Drosophila melanogaster: one gene and its partner. The protein of the gene in region 1 purifies or fractionates together with the protein of each later gene. This does not show direct contact. Each region holds a gene or a part of one and is shown in the gene's direction. Other genes may lie near its edges.

Region 1 (8,387 bases):
ATAATTTTGGTTTTAATTTGGTAAAAATCCGACGAATATATATTCCGAACAGTCGGAAAAGTAATTGAAAATGGCAGAAATTAAATCACAGTTCATTTTGATTCACTATGATCTTTATGCGGAATAAAATCTTAGTTTTGATATATAAATTGTGCAATGATATATATCTTTCCTTCCTGTTCTCTATTTAAATTTGGTAATGCGTTCTCTTGGAATGCTAATGTAATGGATAGAAAAATCAAATTAGCTCATCATATAAAAAGAAACAATATAATTGTTATCCTCTTTAACCAGAAGTAAATGCCATTTAAATAAAAATTTTTTTGCTTCATGATAATGGTATATACAAAACTAAGAAAAATTATATCGAGAAAATTACTACTGCTGAACAGTAGTAAAAACCAAATACTGCATTCTAACATTAAGACCAAGCCGAGCGGCATAGCCGCTCTTCTCTATTGCCAGTATCCCTGCAAACTCTTCAATCCTAGATATCATTTTCATATATCAGGTAATCCTTAATTTCTCGTCTCCTCAACAACCTCGACATTATCAAAAAATTCCATAATGAGATTTAAATTACGCCGGCGAGTGCAACTCAATTGAGCGACACTCAAAATCGCCCCACAGTTGAGTGCGACATACCCACATTGAGCGGGGCTCGAAGGTATAAAAGCTGGAGCAGCCCAGACCACAGTCAACAGTTTCCTCCGAGCGAGCATTCAGTCCTCACACAATCTATCACAGAAGCCAAAAAAAATAAGATTCACCATGAAGAACGCTGTTGCTATTCTGCTGTGCGCCCTGCTGGGTCTGGTAAGTGTTGCAAGGAGACAGAAGCCGATGGCAGCCAGTAATCTAAATTCATCCGTTTGCTCCTCGACAGGCCTCTGCCTCCGACTACAAGCTGCGCACCGCCGAGGATCTGCAGAGCGCGCGCAAGGAGTGTGCCGCCAGCAGCAAGGTGACCGAGGCCCTGATCGCCAAGTACAAGACCTTCGACTATCCCGACGATGACATCACCCGCAACTACATCCAGTGCATCTTCGTCAAATTCGACCTGTTCGATGAGGCCAAGGGCTTCAAGGTGGAGAACCTGGTGGCGCAACTGGGCCAGGGCAAGGAGGACAAGGCCGCGCTGAAGGCCGACATCGAGAAGTGCGCCGACAAGAACGAGCAGAAGTCGCCCGCCAACGAATGGGCCTTCCGTGGCTTCAAGTGTTTCCTTGGCAAGAACCTGCCCCTCGTGCAGGCCGCCGTCCAGAAGAACTAGGAGTTCAGCGCAGTTCCACATCAATTCTAGAAGCGAAAGATCAATCAACACGCAAGCAACGCGGCATTTTCGAGTTGAAATCCGCTCAGGCTCTGCAATCCTACGATTGAAATAAAACCATATAATAGTGCTTTTGAATGAAGAATGTTCTTTTTATTATTCACAATATTTCTGAGGGCTGGAAGAGAGGTAGGGCTGCTGGTGGTGGCAGGAATCAAGCTGTTACTCGCATCCTCAATCCCAAAAAACCTTGTCCCGCCCAAAGGAAAGGCATTGATAGCTTATTTAATTCGATTATATTTGTCTTCATCTTTTTCGCTTTAGTAAATTCAACTTCTTTTCTTATCTTCTCTTTACTCTATATATTTTTTTTTTAAATATATAAATTACACACGCACTTTTTATATATTTTGTTGATTTACTTCTTTCCCAAGAGTCTTGTGTTCTTTTGATTTTTTTTTTATATTTTCTTCCTTCTTTATTTGCTTTTGCCATCTTTTAACTTCTTTTATTTGGGGTTTGTGGTTTCTTTTGCGCTTCTTTTATATATACTTATTGTTGTATATACTTTTTTGTTTTTTAAATCAACTTCTTGTTTTTCATAATCTTTTTTTTTTTTTTGATGTTTTATTGAAAATTAAAATGTGTGAAAAGGGGGTGTTTGGTGTTGGGTGCTTCAAAAAACATTATAGCCAAGTCAAGATATTCGTTTTCCTTGTTGATTTTTTATTATTTTCGAGGTCTCTTCTTTTCGCCTGTTTTCTTGCTGCTGATGCATTTTTTATTGAAACGATATTTTTTCTGGCGTTTTCTGTTGCGATTGTTTTCTCTTTTTTATTTAGCAAAGAAGTTTGGCAATAAAATAATGTTTTTTGAAATTATATTGTAAAAAAATCTGAAATCAAATAGTTAATGGATTAAAGACGACAGTCGGTAAATCGAATGGAAGCATTATAATAAAACCCAACACGCTGCGAATGAGAGCAAGGTATTCCCATAAAGGGTTCGGAAAATTATTCTGTTTTTGACCATAAATTTGATTGTTTTTATTTCCCGTAATGATCTACCAGCTATGCAAACTAAATCTATTTAGCTCCATAAAAACAAACGGCATTTTCTAACAACTTAAATTTAACATAAAAAGACGTCCTCATTGGTTTTATAAATTTTAAGAAAAAAAATGTATCAAAATATAAGAGATAGATATCGGATTACTTTATGTAACCGACATAAATCGGACGCAACCCACACATATAAAATTTCAACTATCAATTATTTTCAGTTCGAAATTGTCAACTTACCTTACTAGGGATTTTAATAAAACAATAATCAGTAAGGAGCGTAGTAATTGGCGCGACCACGGTAACCCCTTCTGGAACGAAAGACAGACCGGGATTAGCTCGATCCAATCGGGATTTTCCAGAGCCCACTTACATAGCTCTTCGGGCGCCTCGGAAGGTGGAGTGACAGCACGCCCGGGAGACACGGGCTCCTCGACCCCGGAAGCTGCCGCGTGCGAAACGGTTTGTGGTGGAGAGTCCAGGGCGGTTTGTGCGCTTCGACATTACCTGAAAGTCAATAGATTAAGCTAAAGTCAACTCTAAATATGTGCTTTCAAAATTGCGCTACGTAGGAGTCCCTAGGACTCATTCTATCCACATATGTACATGAGAGTTTGATAGGTAGCAGGACTAGCAAAAAGTGCTTCAGATACTCACCTTTATTTGACGCCCTCGGAAGAGGGTTTCGTTCATGGCCAATGCCGTCTCGACAAACTCCTTGGAACCAAACTCAATGTATGCGAATCCCTTGGGGTGCCCGTCAGCCTTGTTGCAGAGTATGGTTACTCGGTTGATTGTGCCGCATCCGTGGAAGTGGGCCTCCAGTTCCTCGGCCGATGCGCCGTAGTCCACATTGCCCACGTAGACGGACCGCGTGTCGATTTCCTGCTTCTCCTCAAGAGAAAGCGGGACTGTGGCCAAGCCGGTGGTAGACCCACCGGCCATTTGTTTGTCCACCTCCGACTGCATCTGCTTTATCTTCTCGGCCTCCTCTTCCATCTCCTTGACTCGAGCCTTTATGGCCTCCAGTTCCGGGTCGATTTGCATGCTGCCCTCCTCCTGGCGACGAGGAAAATATGAAATTTAGTGGTATTTGATTTGGAGCGATGAGCAAACGCCCGAAACCACAGCAGACAATGGAATGGAGTGGCGGTGCGAAGTGACGCTCTGAAAATGGCAGCCATTGCTGCGGTTTTCGGCTTTGTATATCCCCCAAAGCTTTGCGAGCTTTTCCAGGGAATTCGGCGGGCTTTCGCAAGGCGTGAGGCCAAGAAACTGGTTCTTGGGCACTGTCTACAAGGGCAACCCCAACTCACCTCGACCTCTGTGGCGATCTCAGTCTCTTGCTCCCCGTTCGTCTCCTCCAATGACTCCAGGAGCTGATCCTCGTTCAATGTGATATCTTCATCGGCCATTGCTTTGGATTTGGGTTTGTTTACGTCTGCTACAAAAGCTCGGTTTTGTTGGCGCAAAAGCTTCCGGCGTGGTACTCAAAACGGCAGTTGTCGTAACTATGTATGTATGGTAGCTGTCAATGAGAAAAGGGCGGCGAAAGTGAGCATAAAGAGCGTAAAACATTAAGAGCGCGAATGAAGAGTTCATCATGCAAATGCAGTGAAAATCCAAGCCATAAGTAAATAAATTCAGGCTGCGGACACCGAAATGTCTAGGTTTCACTGCGTTCGCACTACTACACTGATATTTAATTAAACACACTGTACTTACGTTTAATAAATGTACAAATTACGAGCTCGTTCTGCTGACGTTGAGTTCGCCCAAAATGGCTGCCCTGTGAAAACACACGTACGCTGGGTTGCTGGGTTGCTGTTTTTCGTTCAAAAGTCTACGTTTTTAAACCCTTTTCGACTTTGTTTCGCGCCACACCACGTCAGCATAAATATTTATTTATAAGCTTATTTATTTATTATTTACTAATATTTACAACTATACGAAAACGTACGTAGTTTTTGACACAAATTGAAACAGATTTGTGTTCGCCTCGTTTTTACCGATGACAGTTTTCGCCTCGATAGTTTCGATGGTTTGGTGGTGGGTTTACCTATCGATAACTGCCGGTATTTAAGAAAGCAGTTCTTTGGATGATAAAAATAATAGTATTTTCACACCACAATGCCATTTTAAATTTACCATAGGAAGGAAAGAAGAGGAATGTGCACGCACATTTCTAACAAGGTTTTGTAAATGGGAATCAGACAAATTATTGTTTAAGGAAGTCATATATTGCGAAATAACGCCATCATTCAACCATCAATCAGGGCCCATGCATAACGATAAAAGGAGAACATGAACGATTCCTCCGATTCGGAGTACGAGGACACAGAGTACCTGGTATTTGCGGATTTCAAGAACCACATTCATCCGCACCAGCTGAAGCACGAGGACGCGGCCATTAAGATCATCGGAATCGAGAGTGACACGCCCATGGCCGAGGTAAATGGAAGCATTTATCGGGGACGCTACGAACATTCCGTGGGAACCAACGTGTTCTTTGAGAAGGAAAAAGACAATCTGGCAAGTGATCCGCTTTTTGAGTCAGTGTGTCGCCAGCGGTACCAGTACGTGGACAAATCCACCAAGGTGATATCTTTTGAAAGGGTCTACGTGGACAATTTGCACCAGGAGGTGGAGAAGTCGGCTGAGACTGAAGAGGACGATCAGACCGAGCCAAAGCCAGAATCTCTGAAGCTAAATATAACTTACAAGGAGGCTATTAACAAGTTTGGAGAAGATCATTGAGTGTGGAGAACTGAGTCTAATCCTGAACAAAAAACACTCTTTCAAGACATACCTCTTAGTACCATGGATACCACCTATATTACAACGAATCCAGCTTTAAGCCTGCGAGACTTTCTAGCCGACTATCAAAAGAAAATATCCGGTACTGCAGACGAAGTGCCCTTCTTTCTCCAAAAAAACCCAGTACTTGTCGACGTGTCTGAAAGCTGTTCCCTGGACTTGATCGAGTCCCCAGACGACAGCTCGATTGCAGTCTTCCAGCCCGCCGCAGACAAATGCCGCCCAACCTTTTCTCCGCCGCAGGAGAACCAGCATGTGCCCTCCACTTTTACTGCTCTAAGCCAGCACAAGGACAAGTCCCGTAAGTGTCCCTTTGGCCGCACCCAGTACAGCCACAAACTGAATCCGACGCCGACAGACTCGCCTAACCTGCACATCGATGCTTGCGGCGAACTGGAGCTAACCGTGCGTCTATATCGACCACCGCGGGCCTACCATCGCGGGTTTAAGGTGGAGATTCCCGTTTTCGCCGAGGAGTTCGTATGTCTGGGCAGCAATTATCTGACCGAGCTGCGGGACAAGATCAGCTGCGTTTGCAATGGAAAACGGTTTGTCGACATCAGCGACGATCCAGATGCACCGTTGCCATCCATTGACACAAATCCCGGTTACTTCTTCATCAACGACACATTCTACAACGACCAGCGCAATCCGGACAATCCCGACTATTCCAAGACCGTCTTGCAGTGGGCTGCCAGAGCGAACGGAGTGAACGGAGAAACGCTTAAGGTGGAGAGTATGGAGGGCAAAAGATTCATCGATCTCACTGTCAGCCCCGGATCACCGCTACACTACCTGCACCACGGCAATTGCGAACACCTGTTTGTGATCTCCCAGGTAGAGGTGCTAACGCCACTTAGTAAACGGCCAGATCGCAGCCTGTATCCCTATCCTCACGCCTTCAGTACGTTTAATCGCAGGACTTGCTATATGTGCGGCATTCGCAGCTATAGCTTCATCGTGAACCAGTCCCGGCGACAGCTGCACGATCCCTCCTACCTGTGCCGCAGATGTTTTCTCAGCTTCTTTTACGTGGATGGTGTCAAGCTGGGCCAGTTCAAAGCCTATCGCATGTATGACCATGTAGAGCTGGAGGGCGAAGAGGAGGACATTAAACAGCAAAATCTCCCCTCCTGAATATACATATACATTTGTGTGATTTTTTCTTTATTTGCGAGCTCCTTTGACTGCAAGATCGCTCAAGGAGTTGATTGATATTTTGTTCTTGTAAAATATTCATAGATAGATTTAAATAAAATACATACACGTTGCAACAAGAGTAATTGGCATTGAACGTATTCGATTGCCGTAAAGCTGCCTAAATTCCATGCAATCTAGATTAGCAAAAAGTTAGTGTCCAAGTTAGGAATACAAAAATGCAAACAACGTAAATAGTACGATACATCTGGCTTAGAACTTACGTTAATACATATATGCAGTAGTTCAATGTTTAAAAATTTGCTTAAGGATTTGCACACTGTGGTGCAGAGTATAGACTTGACCAGGACCCATATAAAACAAACCAATAGACTAAATATGGCAAATAACATAATACATTATCCTAGACAAGATACTAGTACTAACCGTACTTAGCAGTACAATACAGTAAAATTCTGTGCACTGGGATTCCGGCGTGCACGTGAAGAGAGACTGTGCGCTTAGTTACTGGGGCGTAGAAATGCATCAACAACATATTGCCAATCCGACCAACAAATATCATTACGAACAACTGCAGGCTGGGATTCCATTCGCCCGGACCTCTTTGGTGTACGCGCTTGCGTTTACTTCAGTGTTAAAGCTTTGACCAGCGGCTTCTCGACGGCGGGCGGCGGTTGCCTAACTCTGGAAGACCAGCTCCCGCTCCACCGACAAGTACTCCAGCATCTGCGCCGGCACTGGCAACTGGGCCAGCTGTTCGCGAGACATCTGGCGCTGCAGAACACGGCGGCATAAGTCCTGCAGCTTGGGCATGTTGGAGTACCGGCTCAACGGGTACTTGAGGATCACTGGAAACGGTGGCTGCATCTCGTTGGGAACCTTCACAAAGCACACAAAGTTGTCGTTGGTGCAGCGGTGCAAGATATCTTCGATCATCTCGACAATGGACTCGTACTTAAGTTCCTCGAAGTGCCAAAAATTGTCGCGATATTCCAGTCGATAATGCAGGGTTACGTTCACAATCCGAAAGCTGAGCGTGAATTGGGATCCGCTGGTTTCCGAGTCGCGGACTAGAAACGACCCAGTCGGCTTGTCACTCAACTGCCGCTGCGAATCGCGCCTGGAGATCTCACCCCAGTACCACACTTGGCTAAAAACAAACAAAGGGCATGAGTCATCGATCGTTGATGGACGGAGAAACACGGCGCTTACTTGAGCATCTCGGAGCAGGCCTTGTACATGATCTGGTTGGGCGAGTGGGCGTCCTCGCGCTCAAGCCATTTCTTCCGGATAAAGCGCAAGTAGTCGTGTGTGAATGGTAGCGTGGGTTCCGGACAGATGGCCGGCGTAAGGAACTCGTAGGTGGCATCAGTAGTTCCGCCGTCGTCGCAGTCGCCCATGGAGTGCCAGTTTCGCAGGGAGCTGAGCCCTTGGCCCACCTTCCTTCGTAGTCTGGCAAACACGTTTCGCTTGTCCTTGTCCCGCCTTCTGCGCAGAGTTCCTGTGCCCGTGCCCCCATTGCTGCAGCTGGCCATGGAAGAGTCCGCTGCCTCAAGGACGCACACTTCGTTGTTGTTGTTCTGCGATCCACTGGTGGAGACGGCGGCGGATGCAGTCACGGCCAGCGCCGAGTCGGACTTCTTGCGCCTGGTCAGCGAGTGGAACCAGCCCTTCTTTTCCTTCTCCCTGTCCCTCGGGGAGTCACCACCGCCAGTGAGCGCCTGGCTCCGCTGGCTGCTCTGGTTTTGACTCTGGTCGCCGTGGCTCATTTTGGAGTGGAATCGGATCGGATCGGAGCTTCCTCGTGGTGGAATTACATCATTGATCTAATTCGGAGCCGTGATCAATGCCTAACTTTATTGATAAGAACTATTTGTTTTCGTTGTACACAAGAACTGTCTTATCGCTATCGGTCGTGCGTAGCTGGTAAATGCTATCGATAACATAGGGGAGTTTAAAAAATTAAATTCTCTGCAAGGCAAAGCTTTAATTTATCCATTATTACAGCCCTCTGCTTTAGGCATTTTTAAAACTAACTTAAATTATTTCAAGTAAAATCTCGTTGACTTAAATATATT
Region 2 (9,552 bases), on another chromosome or scaffold:
CCGCCAGCAACTGGCTAACGCATTGGCTAACGTGACCCCGTTTAATTCACTGTCGAATATTGCGCAGAGAAACGCGGACGAGGCCGTGCAGGGTGATGAAAGACCTAGAACCACCTCGGCGCCATTAGCAGGCGTTGGAGGAGCAGCGGGAACAGGCGCAGGAAGCAGCAGTGGAGCCATCAGCAGCGGATCCATATCCTCAGAGTTGCTCCGCAACGAGCTGGCCCGCGCTTTTCAGTCCCTGTCGCAGGATCAACCGGCGCCTGTGGAGAACATGGAGGTGGAGTCCGGAGAAGGACCAGTACCAGAGCAAGCCGCCACAGCACCAGCCGATGATGTAGATGACGAGGACGATGGTGGAGACGACAGTGATGTGCTGCCACGCCGCTACCGTCGCCATCGGTTCACCGAACAACTGCGTACCATGGCCGCCATGGGCTTCATTAATCACACTCAGAACGTTAGTTATCTAGAACTTTCCGATGGGAATGTGGAACACGCTATTAATCTGCTTATGCTGAGCATGAATTAATAAGGATCGGAATTGACTAAAAAGCCAACATAATGTGCTTACTTTACGGACTTATATTTATTCTGCTGCTGAGGATTCTGAAGCATTAAACTCCCAACTTAAGCAAGGAATATCTCTTAATAACTTTTAATAATTAAATATACGTTTAGAGGAGTCATCTTTGTAAGCTAATTGGGGTGGGATTGCGGAGTTTGGGCATGGGGGTAAAAGCCGGCCGTACAAAAGGTTTCCACTAAATTATACTAGTTGATTAGATAGTCCAGCGCCTTGTCCTTATTATTGTTGAACTTGAGTAGCGCCGCCGAGATTTTCGATTCGTCAAAACCGAGGTCCAGAAGTTCTCCCAGTGGAATAAGGTGTTCGATAATCTGAAAAGACGTCCCAGATCGGAATAATGCATTTTGCAAAAGTTTTCGAAACTGACTTACCTTCTTATCGTCGATACCGCATAGACTAACCACCTTTGCCACCCGTTCCAGAGGGAAACCCATAGTACTGATACGTTGGGCCAACTTCTGTGCCGGACCAGCCAGCTCCCTAAAGGAGTTTCTGTCCACTGCCAACTCCACCGTTGGCTGCTGCTCCGCGTTGTGACTGTGCAGGCGGGTACGACGCTTCTCCGCCTGCTGCAGCTCCGTCTTCAGCTCCCGCAGGATGTCAGGCACACTCCTTGACTTCGTGGCTACCTCGTCCTCCGACTGGCTGAGCGCATGCACGGAGGAAGGCGCTGGAGGAGCCTTCAAAAGGTTTTGAGTCCCGAATCCATTGACTTGGTAGTTGCTAAACTGTTGGAAAGAATGCTGCTGCGGAGGGTAGAAGGGCTGGTGACTGTAGCCCTGCATGTGGTACACCTGCGAAAATAATAATTAGCCCATATTTTAAATCGGAGCGTCTGAAAAAAACTTATTTTCGATTGAAATAAAATATTGGGTATCGGACTAATACTTGGTTTATAAGACCATGCTAAGATCGTACTCAAGCTCAGTCAAAATATATTACACCCTCAATTGTGGTACTAATTAGTTTGAGCAATAGCCCCACCCTCGACTTGTGATGAGTTATTTATTTTTAGGTAATCTACCTGCAAATGCTCAGAAATCATCCCGATTAAATGGTATACTGTGAGTGAATGAACAATTTCCTCTTTTATTACAATTTAATGAGTAATGAGGATTGGATTTTGAGAATACAAGGATAGTGTGACATTCAAAAGAATCAAGTTAACATATTATTAAGGCTCTTTAACTAGTTAAAAGTGTCCCACCTGAAAGTGTTCCGGTTTATGCAACGGCTGCTGGGCGGAAGCGCTGTACATGGGCGTTAGGTATTGAGCCGTGGTTGGAATGTGGCTTGGCTCGCCCCTGTCCGCATTATCATCACAGTGAACATGGAAATTGACGCTGTCGAGCGTCGCTTTGGTCTCCGCCAGCGTAGTCATTGCTAGCTCCACCGGAGCTGGCACTTCATTGCCAGATTGCTCCTCCTTGGAATGATCCTCATGCGGCGGCTCCTGCTGCTGCTGATCCTGCTGCTGTTGATCTATGCGCTTCTCCAGCTGTGTCTGGTGCAGAACCTGAGCTAGTATGTCTAGATCGTTGATGGTCTTCAGCTCGATATTGTCGAAAGGTGTGGAGTTCATATTGTACTCAAAGTCTGCGTAGTTTAGGGAGCTGTTACGCTTGTGCAGCGTCTGCGGACTGACCACTGGAGTGGTGCTCAGAATGGTGGGCTGCAAGATATTGTGAAAATTACACACACTTATTGACTTTGGTTCGTGGGAAGAGTCGCGTGACTCAGCGGTGATTGGAGGTGGTGGCTGCTGTTGCTGTTCCTCGTCCCTCTGCTCGGGCTCGTTCTTCTTTCGCTCCTTCTCGTCCTCATCCGATGACAAGTCGTCCGCACTAGGATAATCAACTGCTCCAAGCATCTCCTTCTGTCTCGCCTCCAGCGCCCGTTGGCGTTCCTCCTTGCGACGCTCCTGGCGACTGGCTCGCTCCTCGCGCTGCTGGCGACGCAGGTGGCGCCATCGTTGCGCCTGACTCAGCACGGCCCTCTCCAGCTGACAGTCATACTGGTAATCCGGATGATCCGTGTAGAAACCTTCTCGGAATTGCGACAGGCGATTGAGGGTCGCCTGCGGCAGGTGGTACACGGCAGGCGGTGGTTTGTAGCGCTCGACTATCTTGACCGGGACATCTTCCATGTTATGCTAGCGCATTCACCACGAATTTTGTTAATTAAGTTGCTACTACGCGTTTTTTTTTCTCTGTTCTCTTTTGTTGTTTCTCGAGCAGCAGCGATAGGCGATTGGTATTGTCATCGGTCACTGCTGATTCGCCAATTTCGACTAGTGTTGAATATCGTTTTTCCTTGAGATGCTCACCTAATTAGGTGTACTCAGGCTTGGTTGCGAGTTTGACAACAGCTGATATTAAATCTACCCAAATTTTCGCCAATTTGAGGGCGTATGAAAGGCTTAACAAAAATCGGAATACATTAATAGTTTCTACAGATCACGTTATACAACATAAAAAAATTAAAATTACAAAACATTTTGACATACTAAATATTTTTTGTTACCAAGGGTATCATTATTTAGTGCATGGCGGATAGTTTTAAGATCTTTATTCTAAAAAACTATTTTTGACCAAACTTTTGTTTAAAATAATCCCGCGCTTTTACAACTGAGTTTATTGAAATCATGTTCTTTCCACTAGATAAAACCAAAGTTTCTGGGAATAAATAAGGACGAAAAATGGCAGTTATGATATCTATTTTATCTCTATCTATTCTTTAATAGGTCTTAGTCCAATAATACAGCAATTTCCTATGTAATGTTCAATGTTACTTTATTTGCAGGGTATTAATTTGCTTAATGCAGTTCGACCATTGCAACCATTTTATCGATAGTTGATGCCGGGAATAGTTCATCGCTAAAGTCAAAGGCAATGTAAACAAAACAACCTGAGCAATGGACGATGCCGATGATCTGCGCATAAACCAGCAGCAGCTTATGGACGAGATTTCGGCCCTCTTGCAGAACACAGCGAAGCCGAGCGCCGCCAACGCACTGCAGCTGAATCAGGAGCTCCAGCGCCGGCTCATGCAAGTCCGGACCAAAATTCTGGCCATGTTACAAGTAGTAAGGGCCCGCTTCTCTCGGAACGAGGACATCCTGGTGCGCCGGCTGCGACCTCGTTCCCATTTCGGCCCGAATTCCCTCAATCTTAGCGGGGCGATCCTGCGGAAGGGCACGTTTCGCTTCAAGGGCAACCTGTTTTTCCGAGACATCGATGGTCGAAGCTGTCCTAACAACGAGGATTACGAGGCGCGGTGCCACACGGAGATGTTTCCCACCGACTTTGACATGCACTCCAGACATGTATGGACATTGCTAGACAAAAAGAATGTGATAATGGGTATAAAACAACAGGTGAGTGGACCCTTCGAGTGGTTCAGATTGATTGCCAAATACCCATTTAATAGCAATGAAAAGTTAAATAGCAATACTAATATTCTGTTTTATAAAAAACTCAATTCTCAGTTACTGGAGCATAGGGCCCACAGTACGAATGCGCTGCCCAGCGGAAGCCTGAAGCGCAAGCCAATCGAGCGACACTTAAGTACACTGGTAAGTCTGCTGGCAACTGCGGATAGTAGCTTCAGCATCGACTGGAACCAGATCAGCACCCTGGACTTGGAATATCGGCACTCACCATATAGCTGTGAGGCAATGTGGAGGGTCTACTTAACACCAGATCTCAGGCGAGACGATTGGTCACCCGAGGAGGACGAAACTTTACTGGCGGTGGCCACTGCGAACAGGATGCAGAACTGGGAGTTGATAGCCGCGTCGCTAGACCGACGTTCCGACTATCAGTGCTTCGTACGCTTTCATACCGCCCTACGTTTTCTGCTGGAGCCAAAGAACAGCCACCGCTGGAGCGAAGAGGACAACGATAAACTAAGGGCGATCGTTGATAGGAATACGGCAAACAGTGTAATAAACTGGAAAAAAGTCGTGGAATACTTCCCGGACAAGTCCAAATCAACGCTGATTGGTCGTTACTACTACGTGTTGCATCCTAGCATCAGTCACGGTAGGTACCCAATATATTGAATAATTTTTAATTTATTATTTCGCTCCTTTGAAACTGCAGAACCCTTCACTACCAAGGAGGACATGATGCTGTTCGCCGCCGTTGAAGAGTACAATGGAAAGTTTCACTGTTTTCCGCGTTCTCTTTTCCCAAACCGGTCGTTAACCCAACTCCGAACTCGCTACCACAATGTACTGGCACAACGCAACAAGACCGACTCCTGGTCCGTTCAGGACGACACACGGCTGATGAGCTTCGTAACGCAATACGGGGCTTCCCAGTGGCTTAACTGTGCCACGTTCTTGGGCAATCACACGCGGACCAGCTGTCGAACCCGCTTCCTAGTCATCAAGAAATTCCTTGAACAAAATCCCAATGCAAAAGTGGAAGACCTGCCACGCCGCCGATCGAAGAAGGTGTCCTTGGTTAACTCTGATAACTGGGCGCAGCGTTTGCAAGAGTGGCAAGAGGACCCAGAGTCATTAGTTAATGATAACCCCCCGAAAGGAACTCGGGTGCGCGGTCCCAAATCGAAAAAGGCTAGGATCGAGCGACAGGCAGAGAGTTTCTCAAGACTTTCGAAAGTTGATATAGAGTTCTGCAACTTCTTTAAGTTTAGTTATAATCTGACGCTGAGCACTCCAAAAACTTTTCCAGTTCCAAAAGACGTTTATAACCTTGCCTACGTGATCAGAGCTCTTGCATATAAGCCACCAATTCGACCCTCGCTCTTACAAAACATATTTATGCCAAATGATGTGCTTAAGTGCTACAACAGCATGATCCGAAACCTTCCGGACGAGGAAGGTGATATGAAGAGCCCACTTTTGCCACCCAACTGGTCAACTATGATGGGGTTTCGAGCCTTATGCATTCTTTCCGGAGATTGTCGCAAGGATACGGAAACACGTAGCTTCGAATACAATGAATCTTTACCACCCATCCAGCTTTTCCGCAAGCGGTTGCAAGCTCTTTTCTATCGTACCACTCTTCTCAGCCGCTTGGAATCACAACTCTTTACGGACTTACCATCAGCATTAGTTTCTTTACCACGCCCCAAACACGATTATGCAAAAATGGGTACACATGTTGAATTAATCGATCCAGAGCCGGCACCACAGAATGATCTAAAATCCGAGCCGCTTAGCGAGAATGAAGTGATTAATACAGTCAAGCAGGAATTGGAAATGGAATATACAGTTCCATAGGAACTAATAAGTAAATATGTAATATTGATTAATTTAAGCTTTAAAAGTTTATATTTTTTACTTCATATCGCGTTATATAATAGTTCATTACAATGGCTAACAAATAATTTATAAACTTGTAGGTACTTTTAACGTATTTCACATACAGCAAAATCAAATGCCGGACCGATGTGCATTAGGGTGGCTCATTTTTCTGATTGTAGTTTAAAAATATTGCTTAGGTTTGAAAAAAGGTATATTTATAGCAAAACGCCCTGCAAAACGAAACAATTTAATACACAAGCAGTCAAAAAAACTAATGTATATTTTAGTTGCCGTTTTACAATCCTTTCAAAACTTTTATCCCGGATATTTAGTTATTAGAGCAAAATTGTCTAAACCTTATTTTCAATATAAAAAGAACCGATCCATCCTATTGTTCATGCGGTAACAATGTATTACAAAGCATTTTTATGATAGCACTAGCAGCTTGAGAACTATTTTGTTCGATTCCCGGGGGAGGCGCTCATTGGAAGTTACTGAAATCCGTCTTCAGCTTGATCGTAGGCTTCTGCGGCTTGGCCAGCAGGTTCCTCTGCGCCTCGCTTGCTTTTTGGGCAATGTTAATCGACTGCTGTTGGCTGCGAATGGCCGCTTCTAGTTTTTGTCGCAGTTCCGGTGTTTGACCCATCAGGGCCTTAAACTCCTGCGGATATTTCGGACCGATCTTCAGTAGCCACTGCAGCGCCTGGTCGTGCAGCTGCCGTTGATACTTTGGCAGCGTCCGGAGTCGACTGGGTTCCGCTAGGAAGCCAATGAGCACAGGGACCAACAGAGTCAGCATCTGAATATCTGTGAAGTGTGGACAAGGAACAATTAATATTATAATCCTAAGTTTAAGGGCTTGCTAAACGGAACATCAATTCACAGAGATGGACAAGTCGCTTCATCCCGTACTTTTACTTCATACGTGCAACATTTAAAGCGTAATTTTAATTGACAACAAGAACTAGGAACTATGCTATGGATTGGTGCATTGAAAAACATTGAGTGTGCAATAAACGTTGCAATTCATGACTATAAGGCAGTTAAGATAACATAAATAAAAAAACGAATAGAATGTTCATATTTAATGGTAGGAAAATAATTTCATTTCCATTTAGCAGACCGATGAAAAAGGAGTAAATTTACAACGCGTGTGTAAGTGTGAACAGTTATGCCTTATATTTCTGAAACGCTTTTTTGACATGAAACGTGTGAGTTTATGATCGAGCTCTTCTATTTACCTTGTAGCAAGTTCATGTTTCCTAACGTTTTTTTTTAAATATTATTTTTTTTAATGTTTTGTAAATGATTTGTGATTTGATAAAAAGAGAAGACAGAGAAAAGAGCAAATATATAATAACTTATTTCGTTTTCCCTTCCCATCGTGTGAAGTTTAAAATGAATGTACTTAAACCAATACTTTGGCTGCGTTCGAAGATATATTTGAAGAAAACAGATCGATACGACAGAACAGCCTAATTATGTTGGAAAGGGGAGTGTGTTAACTATTAAGGCGGGTAAGGGGGAACTGCTAGAACTATATTCTAAAATGGGGTACTCCTGCACCAAATGAAAGTTATGTCGAATTTTATCCTTTCTAGTCACAATTTAACATTATTCGAAGAAGTCCTTATAATCAATCAATGATCAATTTTTATTAGTTAGCAATCATTTAATTATGATATAGTCGAGTTCCTGGACTATTTAATATCCGTTAGACACGTATGGACACGGCCAAGTAGATTTGCCTTCTGATACTGAAAAAAAATGTATACACTTTATAGGGTCGAAAACGCTTTCTTCCACCTCTTTCATACTTTTCACTATTTTCCATGAATTATAATTCCAAATATATCCCTCCTAAATCCAAAGGTATAATTATTTAATCTAGTTATATAACATAAACAAAAACACGTTCTTAAGGTTAAGTATTCTTTCTCAAACAGGAGTACCCCGAGATTTAAAGAAGGACCAAGCTTAATGATTTTCAAATACAACCAGTTACTTACGGTTCTGCGGCTCCGACAAGTCTATAAGCTGCTCCACGGTAACGATGCTCTCCAGGGTGACCTGTAGCTCCAGTTCGCTTGTGGGCACCTTGCTGGACTCCGCATACAACGATTCGATTATCCTAGGCGCAAGTGCGTGGATGTAGGGTGTTGCCGTCTTCAATTCGGCCCGAGCGAAGATCGATCGCGTGGTCTCGATGCAGCGCAGCTTCACCGAGAGGTTCTCCGACTGCAGGCACTGCCGGAAGTGATTAATGCATGGATATTGCAATGAAGGTGTAGCCACAACGGAGGCGGGAGTATGTAGAATAAAAACAGTGATGGCCAGCAGCATAGTGACCTCGTCGACTTTCCTTTCCTCGTTATCGCCAGCCGTTTTGGTGAGATCCACAATGGTGGCCAGTGCACTTTGCAGTAACTGTTGCCATTCCTCGGTTGTCTCCTCTACTTTAGCCCACTTGTGGACACAAACGGATCGCAAGCACTGCAGGGCAGACTTCACAGCACACGTATTTGCCAAGATAGTACTATCTATGGCCGACTTGTTGGCGATTTCTTTAACGATACTGGTTGTCATATACAGGACGGTGGGCAGGATTGCAAGGGCACCTTTGGGAGTACACAAATCCATCAACTGTTCGACGCACTGCAGTCCGCTGGATACTAGCAGGCCGTTTTCATCGCCGAGCACCGAGAAGAATGACGAGCCAGTGGCCATTTTGGCATAGGCAAAGTCCAGCTGTAAGCCGGAGCCACCAGCTCCCTGCCTCGTGGGATTCATCGTAGGTATTTGGCGAACAAATAGGCAAAGACAAACCTCCAGAACGGCGTAGACATGCGAGCTTCCTGGCTGCATAGAATCATCTTCTCCATGTCGCTCTCCACCCTTTCCGTCCTCAGAATTGGCATTATCGTCCCGTTTTCTTTCTAAGTCTTCCCTAGCAGCGCGGATTGTTTGCTTTAAAATTTCTACGCACAGAAGTTGTACGAGTAATTCATCTCTCGTCAGTATCTGACGATGTAGAACATGACAGAGTTCAATGGTTAAAGCCCGATCCTTGACCAACTGCCTCCTAGCCCAATCAGAATCAAAGATGCTGTGCAGTGAGCGAAGGCAGCTCACAATGTTTCTCGGCCTTTCAGAGCTTCTCATGCTGCAGAGCGCCTCCATGCAGATGCCGAAGATCATATGGAAGCGATCCGCTGACAAAGATCCATGAGTGATCTGATTATTGTTGGACTCAGCTGCGGCTTCACTTGTGTCTAGATGACGGGCGAACCCTTCATCCCTTAACCATAGTGCGGAGGCATAGAGGATTGGGGGCCAACTGGTCATGTAATGTGGTTTTGACGAATTAATGGTGTCCGTGGTGTAAAAGGCTCCTCCGTCGTGCGGTAGTTGGGATTGGAACTCCGCAGGTAGAAGCAGCAAGGCGTGATCCTTCATAGCACTCAGCCAGTGTGTTGAAAGATTGTGGAGCTCAGGTTGCACTAATCCTAAAAGACTTTCACCCCTACTGTCAGGAACATCCGAGTCCGTTTCCAGATTGGTTAAGGATTGAAAGCCGGATTGTTGGGATTGGAGATTCAGTAGGGAAGCCGGAGCCTTTCCATTTCCTATCATGGCCACAATATAAACCTCTGCCCACGCCTTTAAAATGCTTAGCTTCTCCAAAGTA

The links.
Region 2: the proteins of Pbp49 (region 1) and Pbp95 fractionate together in Drosophila melanogaster (co-fractionation; 4 studies listed by BioGRID, with this or other methods). This does not show direct contact.

What each region holds. Positions count from the first base shown.
Region 1 is NT_033778.4:8,127,396-8,135,782, reverse strand, and holds Pbp49 (PSEA-binding protein 49kD), read left to right. Parts: upstream 1-4,459; 5' UTR 4,460-4,527; exon of another isoform or gene 4,528-4,610; 5' UTR 4,611-4,638; coding exon of another isoform or gene 4,639-5,091; 5' UTR 5,092-5,154; coding exon 5,155-6,288; 3' UTR 6,289-6,429; downstream 6,430-8,387. Other genes in the region: Obp44a (Odorant-binding protein 44a), read left to right, coding at 772-816, 887-1,273; Pabp2, read right to left, coding at 2,603-2,642, 2,708-2,841, 2,992-3,393, 3,651-3,749; CG42516 (uncharacterized protein), read left to right, coding at 4,639-5,091; Socs44A (suppressor of cytokine signaling at 44A), read right to left, coding at 6,988-7,459, 7,522-8,078.
Region 2 is NT_033777.3:8,010,335-8,019,886, forward strand, and holds Pbp95 (PSEA-binding protein 95kD), read left to right. Parts: upstream 1-3,456; 5' UTR 3,457-3,503; coding exon 3,504-3,965; intron 3,966-4,076; coding exon 4,077-4,632; intron 4,633-4,692; coding exon 4,693-5,840; 3' UTR 5,841-6,276; downstream 6,277-9,552. Other genes in the region: CG3223 (uncharacterized protein), read left to right, coding at 1-532; CG10435 (uncharacterized protein), read right to left, coding at 775-900, 961-1,383, 1,797-2,735; CG2747 (uncharacterized protein), read right to left, coding at 6,346-6,671, 7,106-7,126, 7,874-9,552.